2 linked regions of the Ovis aries genome follow. The protein of the gene in region 2 purifies or fractionates together with the protein of the main gene of each other region. This does not show direct contact. Links are inferred from orthologs where the notes say so. Each region holds a gene or a part of one and is shown on either strand. Other genes may lie near its edges.

Region 1 (4,586 bases), on a different chromosome or scaffold from region 2:
TACACTTTCAGATTGTTTGACCTTGGGCAAGTCAACTCACCTTTCTGGGCCTCAGCTTCCCAGCTTTAAAATGGAGATTATTTTGAAGTGGTTAAGGTCTGTATTTTTGCTCCAGCCTTTGAGATTGGGAGAGGAACAGGTTGGGGGAGGAAGTTGAGGATGTCTTAAGTCACAATGACCCCAAGGGAAGGAGATGCCTCATTTTCCTTGGGCTTTCCCCTCATGGCTCCTCACCCTCTCAGGCTCAAGATATCCTCCCCACTCCAGCCTTCAGGGGGGGATGGAGACCAGTGGGTCACCTCCTCCCAACTGTCCTCCCCTCTCCTTTCTCCCTCCACTCACCCCCTTCCCAGAAACTAGGTACTTCTTCCCAGCCCTCTTCCCTTCTCATTTCCAGTTCAAATGGAACCTCCTCTACCGCTCACCCCATTGGGTAGTTGGCCCCATGTTGTGCCCCTCCAGCGTCCTGTTCTCACGCCTATCTTAGCCCAATCACTCTGAGTTGTAACTGCTAGGGGGTTTTGAAGGCTGGAACCATGGGACAGTTTTTTTTATGTTTGTTTGTTTGGGGGGGGATGGTAGTTGTTGGTTATTACTGTTACTGTGAGCCTCCGTTTTGCTTCCAACAGAGAGAACAATGTCAGGCATATAGAAGAAGCTCCTTACATGTCTATCAAATGGATGAATAAAATGAGGTTTCATGGGGAGGGTGGGAGGGAAACTGGTTAGTAGCTGCGTGTTCACACCCTAGCTTCCTTCCTTCAAAGCCAGAGTTGGGAAAGGGAGATGTTTTCTTGGGGGGGATTTTTCTAAGAGCATTTCTGGAACTTGGGGTAGGGGATAAATCTTGGGCAGCTGATTTGGGGCTCACCACGTGGGTGGGATTTGCCTACAGCCTCCTGAGGCTAGGCCCAGGGAAAATAGGGATGGGGAAAGGGGAAAGATGTGCTGGTATTAGGGCTGAGGCTGCCAAGGGGACCTCAGCAGAGTGCTGCCCAGAATGTCTGGGGCCTCCCCATCCTGGCCCCACCATGAGGAACTACACTTCCCCAACCAGATGCTGTTACTGTCTGAGACCAGTATTTTATCCCTGTGAGGAATGACCACTCTGCTTTTTTAGACCACAGGCTTTTCAACAGAAAAACCACTTGCGAAGAGCACATCCTCATGTCCAATTCTATGTGATCTGAAAAACTGGCACAGGAGACTCTGTCTCCAGAACCCAAAGGGAGAACTCCTTTAAAGACATGGGTGTCCCCTTTGGCTCCGGGAAAAGCAACAGAAATTGAGAGTAGTGGGCCGGGGACAGGTAGCAACGCTTCCCCGTCCCACCTCCCACGTGCCCTCCCCAGAAGACGCCCAGCTTGTGCAGACGATTAACATATATTCCTCTTAAACGAAAGAATAAATGAATGGGAAAATGAATGAAGAAAACAGAGGAAGTGAAGGAAGGAAAGAAAGAATGCAGGGAATTCATACATGGAATGAAGGGAGGGGGAAAGAGTGAATGAATGGACGGTTGGATGAATGAATGAACGGGTGAGTTAACGCAAGAGTGAGTCAGGACCGGGGAACCCCTGACTCCGAGCCAAAGCAGAGGGCGGGGTAAGGGGGATTCCGAAGGGCGGGGCGTCCGTCCGGAAGCGCGGCGCCTGCCGGGGGCGGGGCCTGAGGGCGGGGCGAGCGAGCGCGTCTGACTGCGCTGCCCAGTTGCCCCGAGTAGCGGCTGCCGCGGACCCCGCCGGCGCTCGGAACCTCGTCCACGCTTCTCGCCGAGCCGCTCAGCCCAACCCGCAGCCCGGAAAGGAGGCCATTTCGGGTCCAGCACCCGCTCTGTGAGGCGGACCTGCAACCCGGAAAGGCGGCGAGGAGTCGGATCCTCCTGGGACCGGGCCCGGCGGGCCGGCGCCGCGGGGATGTCGGAGGCGCGGAAGGGGCAGGACGACACCGATGAGAGCCAGTATGACTCGGGCATCGAGTCTCTGCGCTCCCTGCGCTCCCTGCCCGAGTCCACCCCGCGCCCAGCCTCGGGGCCCTCAGAGGGCGGGGGCCCCCAGCCCTGGACTCATCCTCCGGGAACCGCCAAGGAGCCAGAGGACAAGGAAGACACGGACGGGGAGCGGGCTGACTCCACCTACGGCTCCTCATCGCTCACCGAGCCCCTGTCCTTGTCGGGGGACCCCAGGACCGAGGGCGCAGTTCCAGACTCCCCGCTCCGCGCCGCCGGGGCGCTGAGCCCTCAGCAGCTGGAAGCACTCACGTACATTTCCGAGGACGGAGACACGTGAGTATGGGGGCTAGGCTAAGAGAGGACCCCTTCCTCCGCCCCGATGCTAACTCGGGGCCTTCTCCAAGAGCCGTAACAGGCCGGGCATTCCCTATGTGGGGATCCCTAAAGGCACCAGCTCTGGAAGGGGCGGTCCCCACTCTCTCTTTCAAACTGAACTCTCAACCCACTTTTGAGCTGTATCCAGACCCAGTCCAGAGGACCTGGCATCGTCTGTCTGCCCCACCTTTTGGCAGGGCCCTCACCAGCACCTGGAACCCCAGCTAGCATCTTGGAAATCTACCAGTAACCCATCCTGGGGAAGAGAAAATTCCCCTGACCAGCCCAGTTTTGTTTTGTTTTGTTTTTCTCGCTGGAGGACAGAGCATCCTTGTTTGCTTAATATCTGGGATTCCCGGCCTCTGACCTCAGAATGCCCTGTCTCAAAGAACAAGAGGGGCCAGTGACAGGCTGCCGGTGGGCCCAGGAAGCTGGGGTCTGAGGTGCTGCCAGGGGTGCATGGCTGAGGCTGGCCTGTGGAGTCAGTGAGCCAGGCTGGGGCACTCTTGCCCCAGCAGACAGATAGGCGGCTGGCTACCCCAGCTAACTTCCTCCTCTGTTGAGAAAGGGGAAGTGAGGGCTAGAGTCAGCCTTACCGACACTCTCCACCTCCTGAGCCCTGCAAATCCCCCTCACTGTCATATGTGACCCCTTCACTTCATCCTTCCTCCCCAGGCCCAGGTGGAGCTTGGTGGAGACTGGGCTGGGGCGGGGCCGGGGGGAGGGGTGGTCAGAGAGGCAGTTGTGTGGTAGGGGCTGGCCAGGTGAGGATTCACCCCTCAGGAAGAAAAGATGGATGAGAGAGGGGGTGGCTGGGATTTGGGGATGGGAAACAGAGTGGAGGGGGGCTGGGGTCCTGGATCTGGGCTGCTGGAATGAATGGGGAGGAGGAAGCAGGAGCTGTCTGTCTTGATCTGCTTTTTTGGAGATGCAAAGGTCCTGGGTGGCCTCTGACAGAGACAGACTCTGGACCCACTGGGTGACCCTAGGCCTTTTTGTCCTCTGTACCTAGAGATCACCAGCCCTCAGGCCTACAACCAAGATTGTGCAGGCCCTGTGCAGAGTACCTGTGGTTGACCTTTGACCCAGGGAGTGGAGGCTTCTGCCCTGCCCCCCTTGCTTAGCCTCTCAGCCCCAGCTTTAATCGCCTCTAGTTAGAGACAGGTGTGGAATCTAGACCCGGTGGGGGCGGGAGGGAGGTGTCAAGACCCCCCAGAGGGTTCCCTGAGAGGAGAGGGCGCTTTCTTCCCTCCGGAGGTGTCTGGGCTGTGGACATGTGGAAATGGGAAGAGGAAGTGGGAGGAGGGAGACTGAGGGAGAGAGGGAGGTGGCTGCAGGAATGTGACCAGAGAGCAGGCCCTGGCCGAGGGGATTTCCAGCGCGGTTCCTCCCTCCCTCCCTCCGTCACTCTCTCCTGGGCCTCGCCAGCCACCAAAGCCTGCCCCCCCTGCCCCAAGCAGCCCCCTCCCCAACCCAGACGGGCCTTTCAGCCAGGCTTCCCCCTGACGAATGCCCCAGCAGCTGCCTGCCCCGGCCTAGACCCTCTGGCTCTGGCTTTCATTTTCCCCACCTGACGTGGGGAAACCCCAGGGCTGGAACTTCCCCTCCTGTCCGCCCCAGGTTAAGGCTCTTTATCCCCCACCCCAGGCACACATTTTCTGCACTGCACAGTCCTCCCCGCAGAGGCACACACAGGAGCGGGGGCCCAGCTCAGGCTCCGTCCCAGCCCTGCAGAATGGCCTCTGGCTGTCCCGTGGAGAGCAGCAGGACAGAGCGCTGCCCTGTCTCCTTGCTCCTTTTCCAAGAGCTTCTGTCTCCTCTCTTTTGGGAGGTGTTCATGAGGGGACAGAGGGTGACCCCACCCCTGCCCTCTCTGCCCTCCCCATGAAGGGGGCAGAGGTGGGGAGCCCAGCCCTGGAAACCACCTCTGTGCTACCCCAGCGGCTTTCAGTTTGGCTTTGAGCTGCAGCTGCCTGGTGGGGGCCCCAGGGGGCCAGAGGGGAGCGGGGTGTGGGCAGGGTGGACAGGAAGGACCTTGTCCCGTCAGCACCCTGCCCACATTCTCACTCAGCCAAGGCCCTCCCAAAGGCCAGAGATGGGAACTTGGAGCTTCCACCCTCAGGATCCTGGCTTCCCGCAGCAACCCTCACTTCCTGGCCCAAACTCTCACTTCCTGCACCTACCCTCTGGGTGGCAACTTAGACACTGATGTGTTCTTCTAACCCCAGAACCCCAGCCCACTCTGTCTGGCCTGAGCCCT
Region 2 (3,806 bases):
CATGGCTGGAGGAGCCTGGTAGGCTGCAGTCCAAGGGGTCGCTAAGAGTCGGACACGACTGAGCAACTTTACTTTCACTTTTCACTTTCATGCATTGGAGAAGGAAATGGCAACCCACTCCAGTGTTCTTGCCTGGAGAATCCCAGGGACAGGGGAGACTGGTGGGCTGCCGTCTATGGGGGCGCACAGAGTCGGACACGACTGAAGCGGCTCAGCAGCAGCAGCAGCAGCAGCTTTACGTGTTCACTTTCCCTGGTGGCTCAGCTAGTAAAGAATCTGCCTGCAATGCAGGAGAGCTGCGTTCGATCCCTGGGTTGGGAAGATCCCCTGGAGAAGGGAAAGGCTACCCACTCTAGTATTCTGGTCTGGAGAATTCTGTGGACTGTAGAGTCCGTGGGGTCACAAAGAGTTGGACACGACTGAGCAACTTTCACCGTTCACTTTACATGTTCAGATCACACTTTTTAGAGGTTCTCTGACCGGCAGGGCCCTTCGAGTGACCCAGGAAAACCAAGTAGGTCTGGGCCCCACCTCAAGGGGCTGGTATCTGTCTGCTGCCCCATGTAGCTGCAGAGTAGAATTCCAGCCCCAGTTGTCATAACTTCCTTTTTAAAAAGGAGAACCTGGAAATCTAGAAGAGCATGATGTCTCATACCTTTTAAATGTAGGCTCCAAATTTTCCCCAACTTCCGTTTGTTTTTTTTTGGCCGTGTTACACATTGGTCGGGACCTTAGTTCCCTGACCAGGGATCAAACCTGTGCCCTCTGCAGTGAAAGTGCAGTCTTAAACACTGAATATCAGGGAAGTCCCTTCCCCAACTTAAAAAAAAAATTATTTTATTGAATTATAGTTGATTTACAATATCGTGTTAATTTCTGCTGTATATCAGTGGTTTAGTTATATATACATAGGTATATATTTATACATATATTCTTTTCATTATGGTTTAGCACAGGATATTGAATATAGTTCCCTGTGCTATCCAGTAGGACCCTGTTGTTTATCCATCCTACATATACTCATTTGCATCTACTAATCCCAAATTCTCAGTCCTTCCCTCCCCTACCCCACCCCAACTTTTTATTTTGAAAAAAAATCTTTTAAATCTTTCTTCTAGATTTCTTGTTTGTTTCTTTCTTTGCAGTATAACTGATATAAAAAAATACACACTTAATGTACACATTTTGATGAATTTAGGATGAGAACAATTGCCATCTTCAGAAAAATTAAAAAAACAGTACAACAAGCACCTGTGTACCCTTCACCTGTATTCACCAGTAGACCTCAATTTTACCTCAATTTGCTATATCTGACCTCTTTCCATGCACACAAACATACATACAGATGCGTAGTGCTCACACACACACAGATATGCATGTTGCTTTTTTTGCAGACCTATTTGCAGATGAGTTGTAAATATCATGTTATTTCACCTGTAGATACTTCAGGGGGCATCTTCTGAAAAATAAGCTCCTGCATGGCTGCGACACTCATTACTATGCCTAGAAAAAAATCAATAATATCACATAATATCATCTAATATACAGTCCATGCTGGAATTTCCAAATTGTTCCCCCCAATTTTTTTTTTTTTTAAGATCTATTGCTTGATTGATTTTTGGCCGTGCTGGGTCTTTGGTCTGCACGGGCTTTCTCTATTTGCAGTGAATGGGGGCTTCTCTTCATTGTGGTGTGGGGGCTCCTCCCTTTGGCAGCTTCGTTTGTAGTGGAGCACTGGTTCTAGGCTTGGGGGCTTCAGCAGCTGTGATGCACCAGCTCAGTAGCTGCAGCCCACTGGCTCTAGAGCACTGGCTCAGTGGTTGTGGTGCTTAGTTGCTCCGGGCTTAGTTCCTCCAGGCATGTAGGATCTTCCTGGACCCGGGGACCCATGTCCCCTGCATTGGCAGGTGCATTCTTAACCGCAGGGAAGTCCCTCAAAATGTGTTTTATAATGATTTCTCCCTCCTCAATCTAGGGTCCTATGTTGCTTTTGGTTGTGTCTCTGGAGTCTCTCGCCTCTATTTTTTTGGAAATTGAGTTGTATTTGATCAAATATTGTGTGTAGCTCTAAGGATTTTGACCGATGTATACATTATTTAACTACCAGCCGATCAAAATACTTTTTTTTTTCTTTTTGTTCAAATATGACACCTATCTTTTTTTTTTTTTTTTTTGCTGCTCTGGGTTTTAGTTGTGGTGTGTGGGATTTAGTTCCCCAACCAGGGATCAAACCCAAGCCCACTGTGTTAGCACAGAGTCTTAGCCACTGGACCACCAGGGAAGTCCTCACTCATCTTTTTATTATCTTTCATGACACAGATATGTCTGAATGGATGACCTGCAGTTAGGGCTTGTTTGACATTTCCTCATGATTGGGTTCTGGGGTTGCACTTGTGGAGGGGCTGTCATAGAAGAGAGCCTTCTTTACGGTCCAGCTCTCACATCCATACATGACTACTGGAAACATATCTTTGACTAGATGGACCTTTGTCGGCAAAGTGATGTCTTTGCTTTTTAACACACTGTCTAGGTTCGTCATAGCTTTCCTCCCAAAGAGCAAGCATCTTTTAATTTCGAGGCTACAGTCACCATCCGCAGTGATTTTGGAGTCTAAGAAAATAAAAATCTGTCACTGTTTCCAACTTTTTCCCCTTCTATTTGCCATGAAGTGATAGAACTGGGTGCCATGATCTTAGTTTTTGGAGTGTTGAGTTTTAAACCAGCTTTTTCACTCTCCTCTTTCACCCTCATTAAGAGGCTCTTTAGTTCCTCTTCACTTTCTGACATTAGAGTGGTACCATCTGTGTGTCTGAGGTTGTTGATGTTTCTCCTGGCAACCTTGATTCCAGCTTGTGATTCATCCCAGCAGAGGATGCCTGTGCTCCATTGCCCCCGTATTGGTGATGCTGACCTTGCTGACCTGGTTAAGGTGGTGTCTACCAGGTCTCCCCACTATTAGCTTGCTCTCTGCCGACCACACTTGGAGACCTTGTGTGCATCCATTTTTTTTAAGTCGAGCGGCCAAAGACAGTGCATCCGTGGGTCAGCTCTCATGTTATGAGGTCCCCAGGTTGGAAGCTTTGGGTTTAGGATCTAAAAGAGGTCTTCCACCGACACACTTCCATCGTTGAGGGGGAGACGAGGTACCAGAGGAGGCTTGGATGGGTGCAGGTGTCTGCGATGGGACCCCAAAAGCACCCGTCTTCCTGCAGCTCCGGGACTGTGGAGGGCTGCGGGAGGTGGAGGTGACCGCCTGCCTGGTGTGGAAGGACTGGCCTCACCGAGTCCATCCCCACAGCCTCGTGGGGAAAGACTGCACAGACGGCGTCTGCAGGGTGCGGCTCCGGCCTCATGTCAGCCCTCGGCACAGGTACCTGACTTGACCCCTTGTGCTTGGTCATGGAGATTTTGAGGGGCTGAGGATCACCTGAGAAAACCTTAGGGCTGGGGCAGCTTAACCAGACCCTCCCCACTGCATTGCCTAGATGGGGAAACCAAGATGTGGGAACAGCGGAGGGTCTCGTTTAGGCCTGGAACCCTGCTGCCTGCACCTCCACATGCGCTATGTTTATCCCCATTTTGTAGGTGAGAAAACTGAGGCTCAGGAAGGTGAAGGGGCCCAGAGAGCCAGTGGCAGAGCCGGGGTTTGACTCCAGACCTGACTTAACTGCAAGGCCCATTCTTTCTTTCACTTTATAATTTATATGTTTTCAATTTAAAAAAGCAAAAGGTTCAGAAAGGGTGTGCAGTGAAAAATGAATTTCCTTCCATCTTTGGTCCCCTAGTCACTAGTGCCCCTTCTTGGA

What was found.
Region 1: the proteins of RELB (region 2) and NFKBIE purify together in Homo sapiens (affinity purification with mass spectrometry; 3 studies listed by BioGRID and IntAct, counting the BioPlex papers as one, with this or other methods). This does not show direct contact. The link is inferred for Ovis aries from reciprocal best matches to the Homo sapiens genes RELB and NFKBIE.

Annotation. Positions count from the first base shown.
Region 1 is NC_056073.1:17,751,039-17,755,624, reverse strand, and holds the start of NFKBIE (NF-kappa-B inhibitor epsilon), read left to right. Parts: upstream 1-1,708; 5' UTR 1,709-1,916; coding exon 1,917-2,284; intron 2,285-4,586. UniProt on the Homo sapiens protein: Sequesters NF-kappa-B transcription factor complexes in the cytoplasm, thereby inhibiting their activity. Sequestered complexes include NFKB1-RELA (p50-p65) and NFKB1-REL (p50-c-Rel) complexes.
Region 2 is NC_056067.1:52,498,189-52,501,994, forward strand, and holds part of RELB (transcription factor RelB), read left to right. Parts: intron 1-3,212; coding exon 3,213-3,370; intron 3,371-3,806.